Drosophila melanogaster: one gene and its partner. The protein of the gene in region 1 purifies or fractionates together with the protein of each later gene. This does not show direct contact. Each region holds a gene or a part of one and is shown in the gene's direction. Other genes may lie near its edges. The genes, in order: msd1 and dgt6.

Region 1 (7,050 bases):
AATAATGTGATGGGCATTCTGGACATCTATGGCTTCGAGATCTTCCAGAAGAACAGCTTTGAGCAGTTCTGCATCAATTTCTGCAACGAGAAGCTGCAGCAGCTGTTCATCGAGCTTACCCTTAAGTCGGAGCAGGATGAATACCGCCGGGAGGGCATCGAGTGGATACCTGTGGAGTACTTCGACAACAAGGTGATTTGCAATCTGATCGAGGAGAAGCACAAGGGCATCATCTCCATACTGGACGAGGAGTGCTTGCGACCAGGAGAGCCCACGGATAAGACCTTCCTTGAGAAGCTCACCCAGAAATTGGCCCAGCACCACCACTACGTTTGCCACGAAAAGGCGCCCGCCCACATCAAGAAAATCATGCTGCGCGATGAGTTCCGCTTGGTGCACTATGCCGGCGAGGTCACCTACAGTGTCAATGGATTCCTGGACAAGAACAACGACCTGTTGTTCAGGGATCTAAAGGAGACCCTCAGCAAGGCTGGCAACGGCATTGTGAGGAACTGCTTCCCGGAGAAGGAGCTGCGCAGCCTGAAGCGTCCGGAGACGGCTATCACCCAGTTCCGGGCATCTCTTAACAACCTCATGGACATTCTGATGTGCAAGGAGCCGAGCTACATTCGCTGCATCAAGCCAAACGACCTGCAGACTGCCAACGTCTTCAACGATGAGTTGGTACTGCACCAGGTCAAGTACCTTGGCCTGATGGAGAATCTGCGTGTGAGGCGAGCTGGTTTCGCCTACCGACGAACGTATGAGCTCTTCCTGGAGCGCTACAAGTCCCTGAGCAAGTCCACCTGGCCCAATTACAAGGGTCCCGGTGGCCCGAAAGCGGGTGTCCAGCAGCTGGTGAAAGATTTGGGCTGGGACGAGGAAAAGTACAGGGTGGGCGAGACGAAACTATTCATCCGCTGGCCGAGAACCTTGTTCGATACGGAGGATGCCTACCAGGAGAAGAAACATGAGATAGCGGCCATCATCCAGGCCCACTGGAAGGGATTGATGCAAAGGAGGAAGTATCTGAAACTGCGTGCTCAGGTGATCATAATGCAGAGCTATTGTCGCCGAAAGTTGGCACAGCAGGCGGCCAAGAAGCGCAGGGAGGCCGCCGATAAGATTCGTGCCTTTATCAAGGGCTTCATCACCCGGAACGATGCCCCGAATGGCTTCAATGAAGAGTTTATTGCCAACGCCAAGCGTATGTGGCTGCTTCGACTGGCGAAGGAGCTGCCCACCAAGGTACTGGATAAGAGCTGGCCCCATGCCCCTGGGCACTGCGAGGAGGCCTCCGGCATCCTTCACCGCCTGCACCGTCTCCACTTGGCCAGGATCTACCGCCTTAAACTGACGCCGCAGCAGAAGAGGCAATTCGAGCTGAAGGTCCTGGCGGAGAAGGTCTTTAAGGGCAAGAAGAACAACTACGCGAGCAGTGTGTCCACTTGGTTCCAGGAGGACCGCATCCCCAAGGAGCACATCCAGCGAGTCAACGACTTCGTGGCCAGCACCTTCGGCAGCGAGCAGCTTAAGTACCAGTCCTTCTGCACCAAGTTCGATCGGCACGGCTACAAGTCCCGCGACCGCTTTATCCTGCTGAGCAACAAGGCTATATATGTCCTCGACGGCAAGACCTACAAGCAGAAGCACCGCCTGCCGCTAGACAAGATCGACTTCACGCTGACGAACCACAACGACGACCTGATGGTCATCCGCATACCGCTCGACCTGAAAAAGGACAAGGGCGACTTGATTCTGATCATTCCGCGCATAATCGAGTTCAGCACGTATATCATTGACACCGTGGGAACTGCCTCCATCGTCTCCATTGTGGACAGAAATTCGTAAGTTGCACATCGGTTATCCCAGTGGTTTTCTCTTGACTAAGTGTTGCATTCGTTTCCAGGTTGGAGCACAACGTAGTCAAGGGCAAGGGCGGCGTCATCGACATCCAAACCGGCGCCGAGCCCGGAGTGGTTCGTGATAAGGGCCATCTAGTTATCGTAAGTAGTGCGAGCTCCAGCTCCTCATGAGGAAACGCCCATTATCGTGCTGACCTCACACACCAAATATTTCTTTTCAGATTGGAACGCAATAAGGAATTTACTATGACTTTCTTCAGAAAAGTGGCTTTAAATCAAACGACCTTGTTTTGTTATATTCGTGTAATTTATAGTGTAACTATGTATTTTTGTTACTGCAGCACCTGAGAGTTGTGTATTCGGATTTTATATGACTAATGTTCCAACTAAATGTATATTGTTTAAAAATACATATAAATATATTACAATTTGTATATGAATTGGGTTCTTATCACTAACTTGTGGTTTTTCAAAGAGGAAACGTGGCAATTTTTCTAGTCTCTTATATCGTTTCTTTCAAAAAGAACCGCCCACTCGATTGGCAAAAGCAGCAGTCGATAACTTTGCTTTGAAACGTCAGTTCGGTGCTCCAGACTTTAAAAATCTCGTTAAAGTCGTGCCCAACTCACAAAAGAAGATTTCAGCTAACGTTACTACTGAAATTCATGTGAATTAATATACCACTAACAATTATTTAACTGTAAATTATAGTTGGGAAAGTTACTTACTCATTATTCAAGTATTAAGTATTTTTAGTATTTATTTGCGTAAGTTGAGAAACAGCTTAGTACATTGCGCATACGGTCACACTGCTACCTTGCTGTCTTTTTCTTGCTCCAGCACTTTTACATAATCTTGAAAACTCAGCGTAAATATCGCCCAAAATACGAGACCTGCACTCGTGCACCGTCTGCAGAGATGCGATACTAACCCGCTGCGTTTCCGTTGCAGGAGAACCGAGATGTCGTTCACACAGATCGCGCGCAGCTGCAGTCGACTGGCGGCCACTTTGGCCCCAAGGAGGGTCGCCTCCGGCATTCTCATCCAATCACAGGCCTCCAGGATGATGCACAGGATCGCCGTGCCATCGATGACCAGCCAGTTGAGCCAAGTAAGCGAACGTCCAAAGCGGTCCCTTCCGTTGCAGGAGCCCCAATCGCAGTTGAGGACCTAACCTCATCGCAAACGGCGGGGTTTCGTGATCTACGAGTTTCAAAACATTCAATTAAGTGCTTGCAATCATGAACGCAACAGAAGATCCTCGCCATGTGGCCGTCGAACCACCCAATTCGATTGCATCACATTATTTTGCATAAAACATGATTGTTTCCCTATCGCACACACACACACATACACCTGCAACACCGGTGCTCGCACTTGTGTGCGGTTGATTGTACTACAGTGAAAATCCTCTAGAAGTGACCTTAAAATGTAGCGGTTTTAAAACATGTGATTTCAGTTTGTTAAATATCTAAATATGTTTCCACGCCAATCCAAGCAATAGTTTTCGCGGTATTTAATCAGTTGATCATACACCATCGAACCACCCTCGTTTAAATTGCGTATATATTTACACTGCTCATTGAAGAATTAGCTAAGTTGTATGCACCATAAGTCGTAGATGAACTACCAATGCAATTATTCATATAGAGACGAAAATTCACTAGACATTAACATTCGCAGAAGTTCGGTGTGCGCAGCTACTCGGCCAAGAGCACCATCGAGGACATCAAGTTCCGCGTGCTAAAGGTTGTCTCCGCCTACGACAAAGTGACCGCCGAAAAGGTAAAGTACCCATTGCATGGCGCCACTAATCCGGTCTTTGTTTCCTTCCTTTTTTTCTCGGGCCGGCCAAAAACCAGGAGTGCCGTGGTCGCTGGCAAACGCAATTGGTGCGCAGATACTCGGCGAAACCGCCGCTCTCGCTGAAGCTGATCAATGAGCGCGTCTTGCTTGTGCTCAAGCTCTACGACAAGATCGATCCCAGCAAGGTAAACGCCACATATTGCCTTTGCCAGTGCAATGGTCGCCTCAGAAATCAGAACTGAACAAAGCTGATGAAACCTTTGAATACCCAATGCTAATGGCTCGCATTTACAGCTCAACGTTGAGTCGCACTTCATCAACGACTTGGGACTGGATTCCTTGGACCACGTGGAGGTCATCATGGCCATGGAGGACGAGTTCGGTTTCGAGATCCCCGACTCTGATGCCGAGAAGCTGCTTAAACCTGCCGACATTATTAAGTACGTCGCCGACAAGGAGGATGTGTACGAGTAAATTGTAATTGTAATGCAAGCCATTGAACGGATTACACTTAAATTTAAATAGAAAACAAGTCAAATACAATTTGATCAACTGAATAAACCAAACGTTAAATTAACTTGTAGTCAGCAATTGTACACGAGGGCTATAATTAACTGCGGAATAGCAGCTAATAAATTAACTATCCAAATAAATAAACGAGTCATTTAGTACTGGCGGTTAAATTTAAATTTCGATAGAAACGTTGGTCTTTCGATTGTTTTAGAAAGCCTTGTGTATTTTAGATACGCAGCGACGGTCACGTTAATCTGCTAGCATTACAAACAGAATATTCGAAATGTCAGACGCTGTGGACAAAATGTTGGCGGGAATGGGTAAATATATCTTTAAACCACCGACACGCGTTCTATTCCGTGCTTCCAATTTCAGCGGCCAATCGGCAGACCATGAACCGCCAGCTGGCTAAGATAGACGAGATAATGGAGCGGTCGAACAACACATTGCTCCACATCGAGTCCAACAGCAAGGCATTCAGTCAGAATGTGGCTTTGTCGGAGACCCAGAAGATGTACAACCTCAGGCCGGAGGCTGAGATGACCCTGTCCAAGATCCTGGAGAACTTCAAGCTGCTCATGTCTAGCAGTGACCAGCGGGAGGAGACATACAGCGCTCTGGAGGGCTGCCTGGCCTACAGGCATCGCGTGGAGCACCTTGGCAGCTCCGTGCGTAAGCTGGTGGCGCTCTACGACACCGTGGGCCAGATGAAGAACTCACAGGAAGAGCAGTATGCCAGCGAGGATTCCCCCTAGCTCATCCATTTTTAGAATTTATTATTATGTTATAGTTGAAAAATAATTTAAATAAATTAAACATTTGATTTGTATTTAAAGCTCTTTAAGCGAGGTTTTCAAATCATGGCCATATTGTAGCTGCTGACTTGGAGAAGCGTATAGGTAAGCACCTCTACGAACATCTCCAGGCGAGCGGCAAGACTCCCGGTGGCGAGTATCTCATTGGGATTGGGCAGCTGGAGGCTGTTGGAGCGCAGGTAGTTGAGCTGTTCCATATTGGCGGCTATGGTCAGAAGCTTCTCCTGCTGCTCGGATGTAAAAGCATCTGGCGGAGACTCACCGCCGGTTGGCATGAGCTTTTCCAGCTGCTGCGCAAATCCATGGAGCTGCGTCAGCTTCTGCTTGTATATGGATTCTGTGGTGTCCAGAGCGGCTGCCTCGTCGTAGATCTTGGCCAGCTTTCGCTGGAAACCCTTAAAATCATTGTACACGTCCACGGCACTGCGCTGCTCCTCCAGACGCGTCAGACTCAGCGAAACGTTGGATGTGTTGATGCCCATGGCCACCGACTCGTCTGCTCCTCGCAGGAGCGTTGAGTTGGTACGTTGTAGCTCCCGCTTCTTGGGCATTTTCTGCAGGTTGGCCGGGTACTCTTCCAAGGTCTTGAAGAGCTCCGCATAGTCGGCTACCGAGCTAAGATCCCTCGGGGGCGTAGTGGCTGCTGCCTCCTCCTCCATCATCTGCTGCAGGCTGTCAAAGAAGGCCCCCGGTTTCATCACCGTCTTGGATACGCACACGTCCTTTAGGTTTCTCACATGTTGCGCGTACTTTCTGTACAACTTGGATGAAATGCTGCTGAAATCTACATTAGTTTCCATTTTTATTGTTTACGCTTCACTTCTCCTTTGATAACTTCGTTTGAATGGCCTGCGCCGCATCTATCGGAAATCGATAACGCAAGCTGTGGCGGTTTAAATTTGAAAACAAAAGTTCTATACAAATTATGATCGCTTACGGATTACTTGGGTTTTTATTTTTAAAAGCACAATTTTTAGAGTGCACTACACGTATTTCAAGTCTTCAGTGGTTTTAACGAGATCTTAATAGGGAGTTTATACCATATGAAAGTTTGGACTAACATGGCTGTTTGAATTCTGAGTCTCAGAACTACAAGGTGCATCTCATCCATACTCGGACTGAACGGTGAGCGAAAACTGACCCTTGGGAATTGAATTGGCATGGTACCAGATGCGTGTGTCCACCAACACAGCATCTCCGGGCTCCACATAGAAGGAGAAGGGCTGACACTGGTGGTCACATTCAGGAGCAGGTGCCAGAAACCAGGTCTTGTTGCCACTTAACTGAGCTTGCCACAACAGGCGGGGAATGTAATCAAGCTATAATAATTGAAAGATTAGTCATAATATTCGTTGATTTCTTGGTTTTTACTTACATGCATCACAGCCCCTTGCTCGTAGCCCATTAATATGAAGTCCGTGTGAGGCATTTCAGCATCGAAGGGCAGGAAATGCGGGCGGGGATACAGCTTTCTGAGCTCCGCCAGGACGGCCGGCTGGCAGACACTCCAGCCCACGAACCAGGGCACTCCTTGAGTAAGATTTGAACGCTCCGCGGACATGGAAAACACATGCTTCAGCGACTTGAGATCAGAGTTGAAGTGCAGAAACTGGCAATCTGAGTCCATTGCTCCCGGGACACTTTCGTACAATTCTTTTATGAAGGCAAAGCTGAGGTTCTTTTGTGCTGGCCAGTGAGCCACCGCCCTCTTCACAATGATGGGCATTGAGGAGTACGCGTGCGGTGCAAACTCCTCCATGGTGAGATTGGCCAAGATCAGGGGAGCCCTCACCCCTTTACAAAACTCGCAGTCACTAATGGGCCTGGTGGCCTCCCATACCAAGTAGTTGTTGGGCAGAAAGCAACGCACTCCGAGCAGGAACGAGATGGTCTCATAAAAGACCGGGGTGGCCACCATGATGAAGAACACGATGCCCAGCAGCCAGAGCAGATTCAACCGGTTCGGGTTGTGGTCCATGTCGCGCGTTTTGCGGAATGCCTCCTCCAGCTCCTGTGTGGACACCAGACCAGTCCGCATCACATTACGATGC
Region 2 (9,089 bases), on another chromosome or scaffold:
CAAGCAGCCAGAAGGAAGAGGGCGTTCCAAGACCTTTTTTTATAAATATATTTTAGAACCTATTGCCCCATGGCTTTCCTCTGATTGCCCAGGAACGCGACCGAAAGAAACAATAACCATCAACTGATATCAAACGCACATTACGATATATATGTACAAACTCAAACTGAAGGGTAAGAAAGCACACTTCGTTTGCCTTTGGAAGCAGAGAAGGAGGATATACGTGCCGAGTGGGGAGATACGGGGAAATAATTTTAGAGTGTAATTTGGGATAGATTGCTTATGTGACTAGAAGTCGTGGCTGCCACACTTGTGTTGTCGGTTGGGAAATTGGTTATTGCTTAGAAAATTTGGTTAGTTACCGGCCGCTTCAATGGCCGGCATTTGTTAATGGTAAATCGGTAACCGATCGCAGTTTGTTAGCTGATACCCATATGGAGTTACTCATGCCGCAGCTTACCTCATCGAAGAACACTTGGGTTTTGCGCAAAATATGCTTCAGCTCGGTCAGCTCCAGAAAGTTGCGCTTCAGGGCCTCGGCGTTCTGATTCACCTCCCTCAGCTCGTTCTCCAGCTTCTCAAAGGTGGCCTGAGCAGCAGACAAGAAAGCCATATAAGTTCAACAGTGTTTAGCAGAAAACAGGGAGTATGGCGGCGTATACCTCCAGGTCGATCATCTCGCGGGGCTGCGGGGCCTCGGGACTCTCCCCGGTGTCCAACATGGGGATGCCGTCCTTCTTGATCTCCTTCTCCAGGTAACGCAGCTTGCGCTCCATCTCATCGCAGCGGCGCACCTCGTTGACGAACTTCCTCTGGAAAGCGTTGACATCGGGATTGAGCTGCGGATTTCAAAAGATTGGTTTGTTATTGGGGGATCTCAAAGATACTTCATTTGTGCGATCAAGATATAGCACTTATGCCACTATATTTTTCAATTTTATTTAAATGAGGTAACACACGTAGTTATACTATACACTTAGTAGCTGGTGTCACCAGCTTTGCATTTACTTTGCATTCGCGTTAAAGGGGACGTTTCATGGAATACCGAATTCGCTAATGAGGTAAGGGGTATGATTGTGGTTTATGGTTAGTCAGTGCGGCTGCCTCGACCGCAGCTTTATGTAACCCATCCTACTCACATCTCGGAACTGGACCAATCCCAGTTCTCCCAACTCGGAGACGCAGGCGTAGGCCGCCTCGCTCTGCAGGAACAGCTGGCACAGCGCCATTTCCTCGCTGCGGAATAGGGAACCCATTGTGGCAGCCGGATTCCCGATATCTGCGAATGGAGAACAGACACTAAATCAGAATGCATATGTACATATATAGTACACAATGGGCCCATTCAATTGCATGATTCATGGCCAAACTGGGTTTCTTCCTAAGTTTTGCGGCCGTGTCGCATACATATTTTCATGCTGATTTGGTTATCGTTTCGGTGGGCGGACGTTCGCTTGTCCCCCAGATTATTTGTCTGTAATCTATACTATATATGCGCCGAGATTCGATTTCTATACCCCATGCGTATATTGATTTTTCTCCGCCGCGGACAAAAAGAAAGTGCTACGTTGGACCCGGATGCCAAGGTTTTCGGCTCGTTGGGGGTCAGCCAGTGACTGGGCTCGAGCTTTATCCGAAAACTATTTAGTTTGTCAGGGGGTCACTTCGAAATGAACGTCGATTAGTTAATTACCAAGTGCTTAAAAATTAAATATAAATTCGTCCACAAACTCCAGCAACCGACAAATTTCCGAACTATGAATCTAGTGTGACCGTGGCAGGTCATTGGATTTATACCAATCGAGTAACTAGGGAAATAAATTTGTACTTAAAAACAAATATCTGGGAAATATTATAAAAAACATTTAAAAAACACAAATGCTATTCGCAGTTACTATTCCTAGGGAAAATAAATAGATTTATCCCTTTTATATAACATTTTTCGTCAATATAAACAGGCAGTGGGAACGTCTTCATTCAGTTGAATTCAACCACTTGGTAACACTGGGCAGCAACAAAAACAAAGAACTTCAAACTAAACCGCCATATTTTACTTAATTTCTGTGCTAAAATATGGATCGGACCATAATTGCACCGTGGAAGGCCGAAGAGAAGGAGCAGAGCGAGAAGCTCCACAGGAAGCTGCAGGGACTGGCCCTGGTGCACCCCCTGCCGGACGAGCTGCGTAAGCTGATTGCCTGGGACATGTTCCTCAAGCCCAACCAGGTGGCCTTCGTGCATGTGATGCACTACCTCTTCCGTCTGCTGGATCCCGCGGAGTTCAAACGCCGCTTCTTCTGGCCCATCACCGACAAGAAGTCGGAGGCGAACTTTCGCTCCAGCACGGTGGAGTATCTGAAGCATCTGAACGAGAAGCACCAGCTGCATTGGGCCAACATCAAGTCGTATCTGGTGGTGATGCCCGGAGGCATGAGGTTCATCAACTTCCTGCTCGAGTTCGTGGGCTTCGTGATCCAGGAGCTCATCAAGCAGCGCGAGAAGTCACTTGGCTTAGAGGCGGGAACACCAAACGTGAGCGCCAAGGTCATGGCCCGCCAAAATGCCGTGATGAAGGAGTACGCTTCTTCGTATGTGGTCAATCTGGAGGAGAATACGGCCCTGTTGCGGGACAAGACCCAGAAGATCAGACGCCTGATGGCCGATCTGTCTGCAGACATGGGAGTGCCCGAGGAGCAACTGGCGGACGATGGCTTTCTGGATGAGTTCGAGGCCACCGCTGCACTCGGCGTGGAGCGGGTCATTACCCAACCCACCGAAAGGAAATTCGACCTGGAGGCATCTCTGTGCGGTCTCAAGGAGGCCATCGATCTTTTCCAGGTGAAGCAAGCCGAGAACAACCAGAGCAAGGAGGCGGTGGAGAAGGCACTTCGGGGCATGCGAGTGCTGTTCGACTGTGATGCAGTCACAGAAGGAGGTGAGACATCTTTGGTTGCATCCTTGCAGGTCTTTAAATTTAAATGGTTTTTCAATTCCTTCGCAGATTTCTACGATCCTTTGGGCGCATCAAAAATGGATGCGCTCTTAAACGGCTTTAATCGGATCAGCGGCACAATTGCCGAGCAACTGGATGCTAATGACCACTACAACGAATCGAATGCGTTTGTCACCACCGATTTGCAGGCTCTTCGAGTGGAACTTTCACAGTCCGAAGTCCAATTGAACAATTTACTCAAGAAACTAAACGAACCGTCCAAAAAGGACAAGGGAAGTGCCAATGCAAGTGGCTCCGCCAGGGTACAGACGCTTCAGCCGGCCACGCCTCGCTTCGAATCGGTTATCAGCTCCAAATTTGTTTCCACGCCTCCCATCAGAATCGACATGGGCGGCGGTGGCGGTCGCAATGCCCCAGTGCGTCTTGCACTGCAAGATGACTTCAATGGCAAACAGTTTGATGCCTTAAGCAACAGCTTACTCGGTAAGGAGTGAACTAAACCGTTCGCTTAGTGACCCTCATCCTTATGAGTTTTCCTTTTCAGCACCTGCGCCGCCTCGATCAGCACGCAAGCTGAAAGCCCTTGATCAATCGACCGGCATTGACCTTAATGGCACTTTAAACCGATCCAAGATCAACGATCCCATGCAAATGCTGCGCACCATTCACAAAAACACCTCCAAGGTCAAGGCAGCTCCGCAGGCGAATCTCTCCTCCCTGGGCAGCAAGTGGAAGCAAATGCAAGCGTCATTCGGTTTCGATGAGGCGCCGGTGCCAGGAGCAGCAGTGATCTCACCTCAGACCTCACCAACGGATCCCAGCGATCCCTTTACACCCTTGAGTGGTAGCGAGTGCACCCGAATTGAGCGCATTCCGCGCACTTCGGAAAACAACACTTCACTGATCGCCAAGAGCGCTGCGGTTATAAAGGTCCTGGAGGTATCACGGAATGTGCTTAATCTTAGCACCTCGCCATCTGGACGCCTAGATGCACTGGTTCCACATACCGAGAGCCACCAGCAAGATGTCGCGCCACGTCTTCAGCTCAACGACAGAACAATCAATGTAAGTGGGATCAACAATAATACGTGCCTACGAAATATACGAATCTCAAGTTCCTTTTTTTTACAGGACTCACTGCAGCTTGATCCCGATTTCAACATTGAAAACGATAAGAATGCATTCAATGTCTCGCATAAATTCGATTTTGATCAGATTGGTGGTGAGGATGACCTGCAGAACATCAGCGATAGCGTGCTCAAGGATATTATCTTTTAGTCCACGGGAATCGCGAATGGCCAATATTGTTTAGGTAATAGATTTTGTATTCTTTTTCTAATTGGTTATGAGGTTTTTAAACGAAATATACTTTTTACTTTAGTTTTTAATATTACCCATATGAAATTAAAACTAAAATCTTTCAGCTTGAAAGCAATTTTCTTCTTTTAAATACATCTATAAGTATACCAGGCTTTTCGAAATTCGAGTTTCAGGACTTAAGATTATTATTGAAATAAACAACCTTTGAGGCAGTATTAAGGTTTATTATATATATACTTTTAAAAGTCATATCTTATAGCTATTGTTCTTCATTGCGGCTTCAGCGATCTGTTACATCCTTGCAAAATCAGACTTTCTGAAATGAGTGGGTTGAGCGTTCTAGATGAATGAACGGCAAAAGTATGAAACAAATTGTATAAAAATAAAAAAAAATGAGTGAATATAATGATGGAGAAATAAAATAAGAACAAAACTGAAAAGTGTGTCTTCAATGAATTCATTTTTATTAAATTCGAAAATTATAATAATTATCGTTAACTTAAACTTCATGAATGTGAGATATGTACTTTTGTGTCTCTGTATACATGTTATTGTATGGTATTACTTTTGGTCTTTATGGTCCGCGCCTATCACATGTCTAGCCGCACAAAAAACTTTACATATGGATACGGATACTGGCGTATTATATACACTAGATTAAAGATTAAGAGTATTGGCAAAGGAGCGTGCATTTAATGCAAACCCAATTGCAGCCGGTTGAGCAATCGCTCACAACCCCGATCGTTTCGTTTTGGGCTATAATAAATATATATATATATGTTTTACTTCAATAAAGTTATAATTTGCACTGCTGTCTCCTACTTTCCGCGGCGCTGACGCGGCGGCAGATTGTTCTTCTTGCCAAGAATCTTCATTAGCTGCTTGGACATGAAGAACGGCTTCTCCGGTGAGCCGTCGTTGCGCTCGCAGTCCTCCAGGAAGCACAGAAACAGTGTGTCCACTGCCGTCGAGTACACACCGAAAAACACGCTCGTTATGAGAAAGGCGGCAATTACCACCACCGTGGTGGGCACTGCTATGTAATTTAGCCGAATAATGCTCGGATTATTGTCCAGGAAGTAGTAGGTGGACGCCCCCGCCCCTGCGGTTAGCAGCAGTTTCGACAAAAAGAACAAAAAGTCCGTGACCTGATCCAGCGTCACCACACGCAGGAAGTTCCTCATAATCAGATTAAACGAGTCCGCGGCACTGGAGCAGAAGTTCTTGCCATGAATGGCGCACATGATGTAGGCATTCCGATTGAGGAACTTCAGGAAGGTCTCCAGCAACCAGAAGAAGCAGCGCATGCAGCAGAGGATGGCTCGTGTCACCGCATTGTCGTACTTCTTCAGCTTCTCGTGGATGTACTCCAGCACCAGACGGATCAGCCGGACGATGGCCAGGATGAGCGAACCAAAGGCCACGGTGCCCAGATGGTAGACAGCAGTTTGAAAGAATGCCCTTGTAAGGGTGAAGTAGGGCACATCCCTCTTTTTGAAGGTCCAGTACCATCGGGCGAAGGTCGAGGCCAGCACCATGTAGCTGAAGGCGGAGATGAAGAAGCTCAGCCAGAGGAAGCCAAAGACGTTGTAGAAGATGGCCCACTTAATCTCGATTGGATTGTTAATCGAGTCAAAGCTGCAGGTGGTGTTCAAGCAAGGGTTTCGGTTCTGGAAAAATGAGGTCAGCCGAACGCTACAATATTGCTGGAACACTTCTGGCTTGCAGGATCCGCCCACTGTGTAGTTGATGGCTGGACCTTCGCAGACGCAGTCCTCGGTGGTCACTTCGCCACTTTTCGTCAGCTGTCGCACCATTCTAAACGAAGGATCGCCAATTGAGCCCAGATACAGGCCCACGCCAATGGCAAACGCTATGGCGGCAATGAAGAGTATCCAGGAGAAGATGGGAAAGAACACGGTGCTGATCACGCTGCTCACCGCCTTGCTGCCCTCCTTGGTTAGGGCGATCGCTATCCGGATGCGCTTTCTTAGCACAATTACCAGCAACAGGATAACCACGAAGCACACGCCTACGAAGATGGACAGGTAGAGCCAGGTGTTCTGGTTTTGCAGGACATTCTTGACCGTGGAGTGTAGATTCAAGCCGTGTACGGGAACCGTAGGCGTATTCTCCCAGTGGATGTACTGCTTTACGGAGAAGTAAATACCCACCAGCAAGCCGATAAGCACGCCGAAGATGGAGAACCAGAGAATCGGAGCCGAGAGCCAGCGCATTAGAGCGATGTAGATCAGTGAGGCTACCAGGGTGCAGAAGCAAGCCACCAAAACGATCGACCAGGAGTTGACAAGATCCTCGACAATCTTTTCTCCCAAAAGCTGGGCGTCGTTTGTGCCATTGTAGAAGTGGGCCACCATGTTACCAACGAGCTTGGCCAGCCTCGTATCGGTCTGCATCATCTTCTCCTTGATGACAGCCTCGTTGAGTCTGCGCTTGCACTGGATGATCGGTTCCTCGTCCACTGGAGTCTGTTTGCCATTCGCCTGTGGAACAACGAGAGCCTGGGCATCCGTCATTTTCTGGTACATGACATCGGCCTGCATTTGAACTTCTGTGGTGGCGTTTCCGGGCAACATATGCAGCTCCCGCCTCGACCTTCCCCCATTTAGCAGAAACGAGGGAATATAATCACACACGCCCTGCGAGAACTCGAAGAGGCATCGTTTGAGGAATGGAGCACTCTTGATGTACCAGCGTGCGCACTGGTTCTGGTTAATGGCATCCTGAATGTCCGATTTGGTGCGAATCTGCGCCTTGTGCTCCTCCGACAAGCAGATGAGGCGACTATGCAGCTCCGCAAAACTTTGTTTGTCCTTCATAGTGTCCCAGACGAACGTCTCTCGGGGACAAGTCTCCACACAAACCTGTTGAAATACGTATTTCATTAAAAGTAAGATCAACTCCTTGCAAATTTGATGTTAATGGTATCTCACCTGTGGAGTGTCACATCCAGTGATGGGTACAAGTGGATCGATGCACTGATTCAAGTCGAAAAAGAATAGGTTTTTCTTGTTCAGCACTCCGGAGTCCATGCCACACTTTCGGTTAAAGGAGTCCGTGGGCACCAGCAGTTTGTTGAGATCGCCGTTCCTGATGGCGTATTGGGCTATGAAGGCCCATCCGCCCAGGAAGAGGACGAATAACAGCAGGCAGGGCACATCCGTGCAGCTGCGATCCCTCTGCCTCGGTCCCGTGAAGTTCCGGTCGTAGCGCAGTGGCTCGCCGTACTTGTTCATCAGCTCCACGCTTTCCGTCATCGCTCTCTACTGAAAGAGTCCAAGAAGAACCGAGTGTTTTATGTATGTATATACATAGAGCCACTATCGATGGGTCGTCGTCTCTAGGTAATGAGATTGTCAGGCGTATATCATGTAATTTATTTCCGTGCATGCGTCATTGTTTTAAAAATGGAAAACCGAATCTGTAGTGGGTGGTCGTGTTGGCGGTGAAGCCAACCACCAGCGGCTCTTTTTGTTCTAGTTTATTTGTTAGTTTGGTTGGGGAAAGTACGATGAGTAAATGAAATTGTCGGCGACAAAGTGCGGTTTGATTATATCAACGACAGGCGGCCAACGATCCCTTTTGGATTGAACCACAATTAAATAATATTTCTTCCTATGTTTATGAATAAGACTGTTTAACCTTTTAATGATCAATGAACCTAGCTCTGTAACAAAGTTTTCTACTGGATAAATGAACTTTAAGAATGGCTTTGGATGGGCTGGTGAATTATCCATAATTATTGCTAATACATTCTCCTACAGCAGACTCATTTAATTAATCATGAAAGCAAATAGAGAGCAGAAATAAATAAAGTATCGCTCATTCGGTTTAAGAGCTCCCCTGATAACGATAGCGATCGCAACTGTACGAACCTCTTGGGGATGCGAAAATCTGCGAAGAGGTAGCAGTAAAGCAGCTCGAGCATGTCGCAAATCGGCAATAATGACGCATTAAAAAGCAAATTAAATTTGTGCGCTCACTTGTTGCTGTTGTTTGATTGTTTATGTGTATCGCTTTATTTTTGTGTGCGGCTTCTGTCCATTTGAGATGAAAAACTGGCTGCCGCCTTTAATAGATGAATTACCAAAAAAACACACAAGTTTTCATAGAAAATGGGAAACCAATTTGGGTTGGCAAGGCATTTGGGGCCACATGTTTCAAGGTCGATTGCCGTAACTCCATTTTGGTGTAGGAATTTCAATGTCTGGGAGTAGAGTTTATCATTCAAGCAGTGCTACGGGCAACACTCTCAGTAGCTAACCTTTTTTTCTTGCAAAGAAACTTGTAGACATGATAAGAAAACGGGTGTTCGTTTTGATATCTAACCCATTTGCATAATTTGTAGTGTAGAAAACTGGTTTAAACCTAAGTTGTCCTTGCATCGAGTGTTTACTGTGTTCACCTTGGACTACGTCACTTGAGATAAAAGAAAGCAGTCGCAGTTCTGATCTTATCTTATAATGGTAGTCTCTTGTTTCCCATATGAACGATTTCCCCTTGTTGTTTTTTGGAACTACAAATGTACAAGGCCCCGTAATTTCGTAATGAAGCAGTATTACTCACCTTTGCTTCGGAGCCGAACGATTCTTCCAGAGATGTAACAAAGGAGCTCCACTCTTCTCGTCGCTTTTCCTTTCTTTCTTAAAGTTCCTTTATTGTCTCATGACACTTTTTTACGAGCGGCTGGGGGCTTTTTGTTTAGCTGGTTTCCTGGGACGGAGTCACTACTCCGGCGAAAGTCACCGGACCACTGAAAGCGGGAAGCCTTTGTCGGAGCTCCGTATCCCGTACG

The links.
Region 2: the proteins of msd1 (region 1) and dgt6 purify together in Drosophila melanogaster (affinity purification with western blotting; 5 studies listed by BioGRID, with this or other methods). This does not show direct contact.

The regions. Positions count from the first base shown.
Region 1 is NT_037436.4:1,327,315-1,334,364, forward strand, and holds msd1 (mitotic spindle density 1), read left to right. Parts: upstream 1-4,429; 5' UTR 4,430-4,467; coding exon 4,468-4,504; intron 4,505-4,559; coding exon 4,560-4,939; 3' UTR 4,940-5,012; downstream 5,013-7,050. Other genes in the region: Myo61F (myosin 61F), read left to right, coding at 1-1,847, 1,910-2,006, 2,087-2,101; ND-ACP (NADH dehydrogenase (ubiquinone) acyl carrier protein), read left to right, coding at 2,827-2,976, 3,549-3,635, 3,728-3,856, 3,966-4,145; msd5 (mitotic spindle density 5), read right to left, coding at 5,038-5,799; CG2211 (uncharacterized protein), read right to left, coding at 6,103-6,318, 6,375-7,050. UniProt on the Drosophila melanogaster protein: As part of the augmin complex, plays a role in centrosome-independent generation of spindle microtubules.
Region 2 is NT_033777.3:29,123,876-29,132,964, reverse strand, and holds dgt6 (dim gamma-tubulin 6), read left to right. Parts: upstream 1-1,992; 5' UTR 1,993-2,073; coding exon 2,074-2,935; intron 2,936-3,001; coding exon 3,002-3,436; intron 3,437-3,497; coding exon 3,498-4,018; intron 4,019-4,084; coding exon 4,085-4,231; 3' UTR 4,232-4,381; downstream 4,382-9,089. Other genes in the region: Vha100-1 (vacuolar H[+] ATPase 100kD subunit 1), read right to left, coding at 461-589, 663-839, 1,140-1,256; Ctl2 (choline transporter-like 2), read right to left, coding at 5,092-7,158, 7,228-7,551.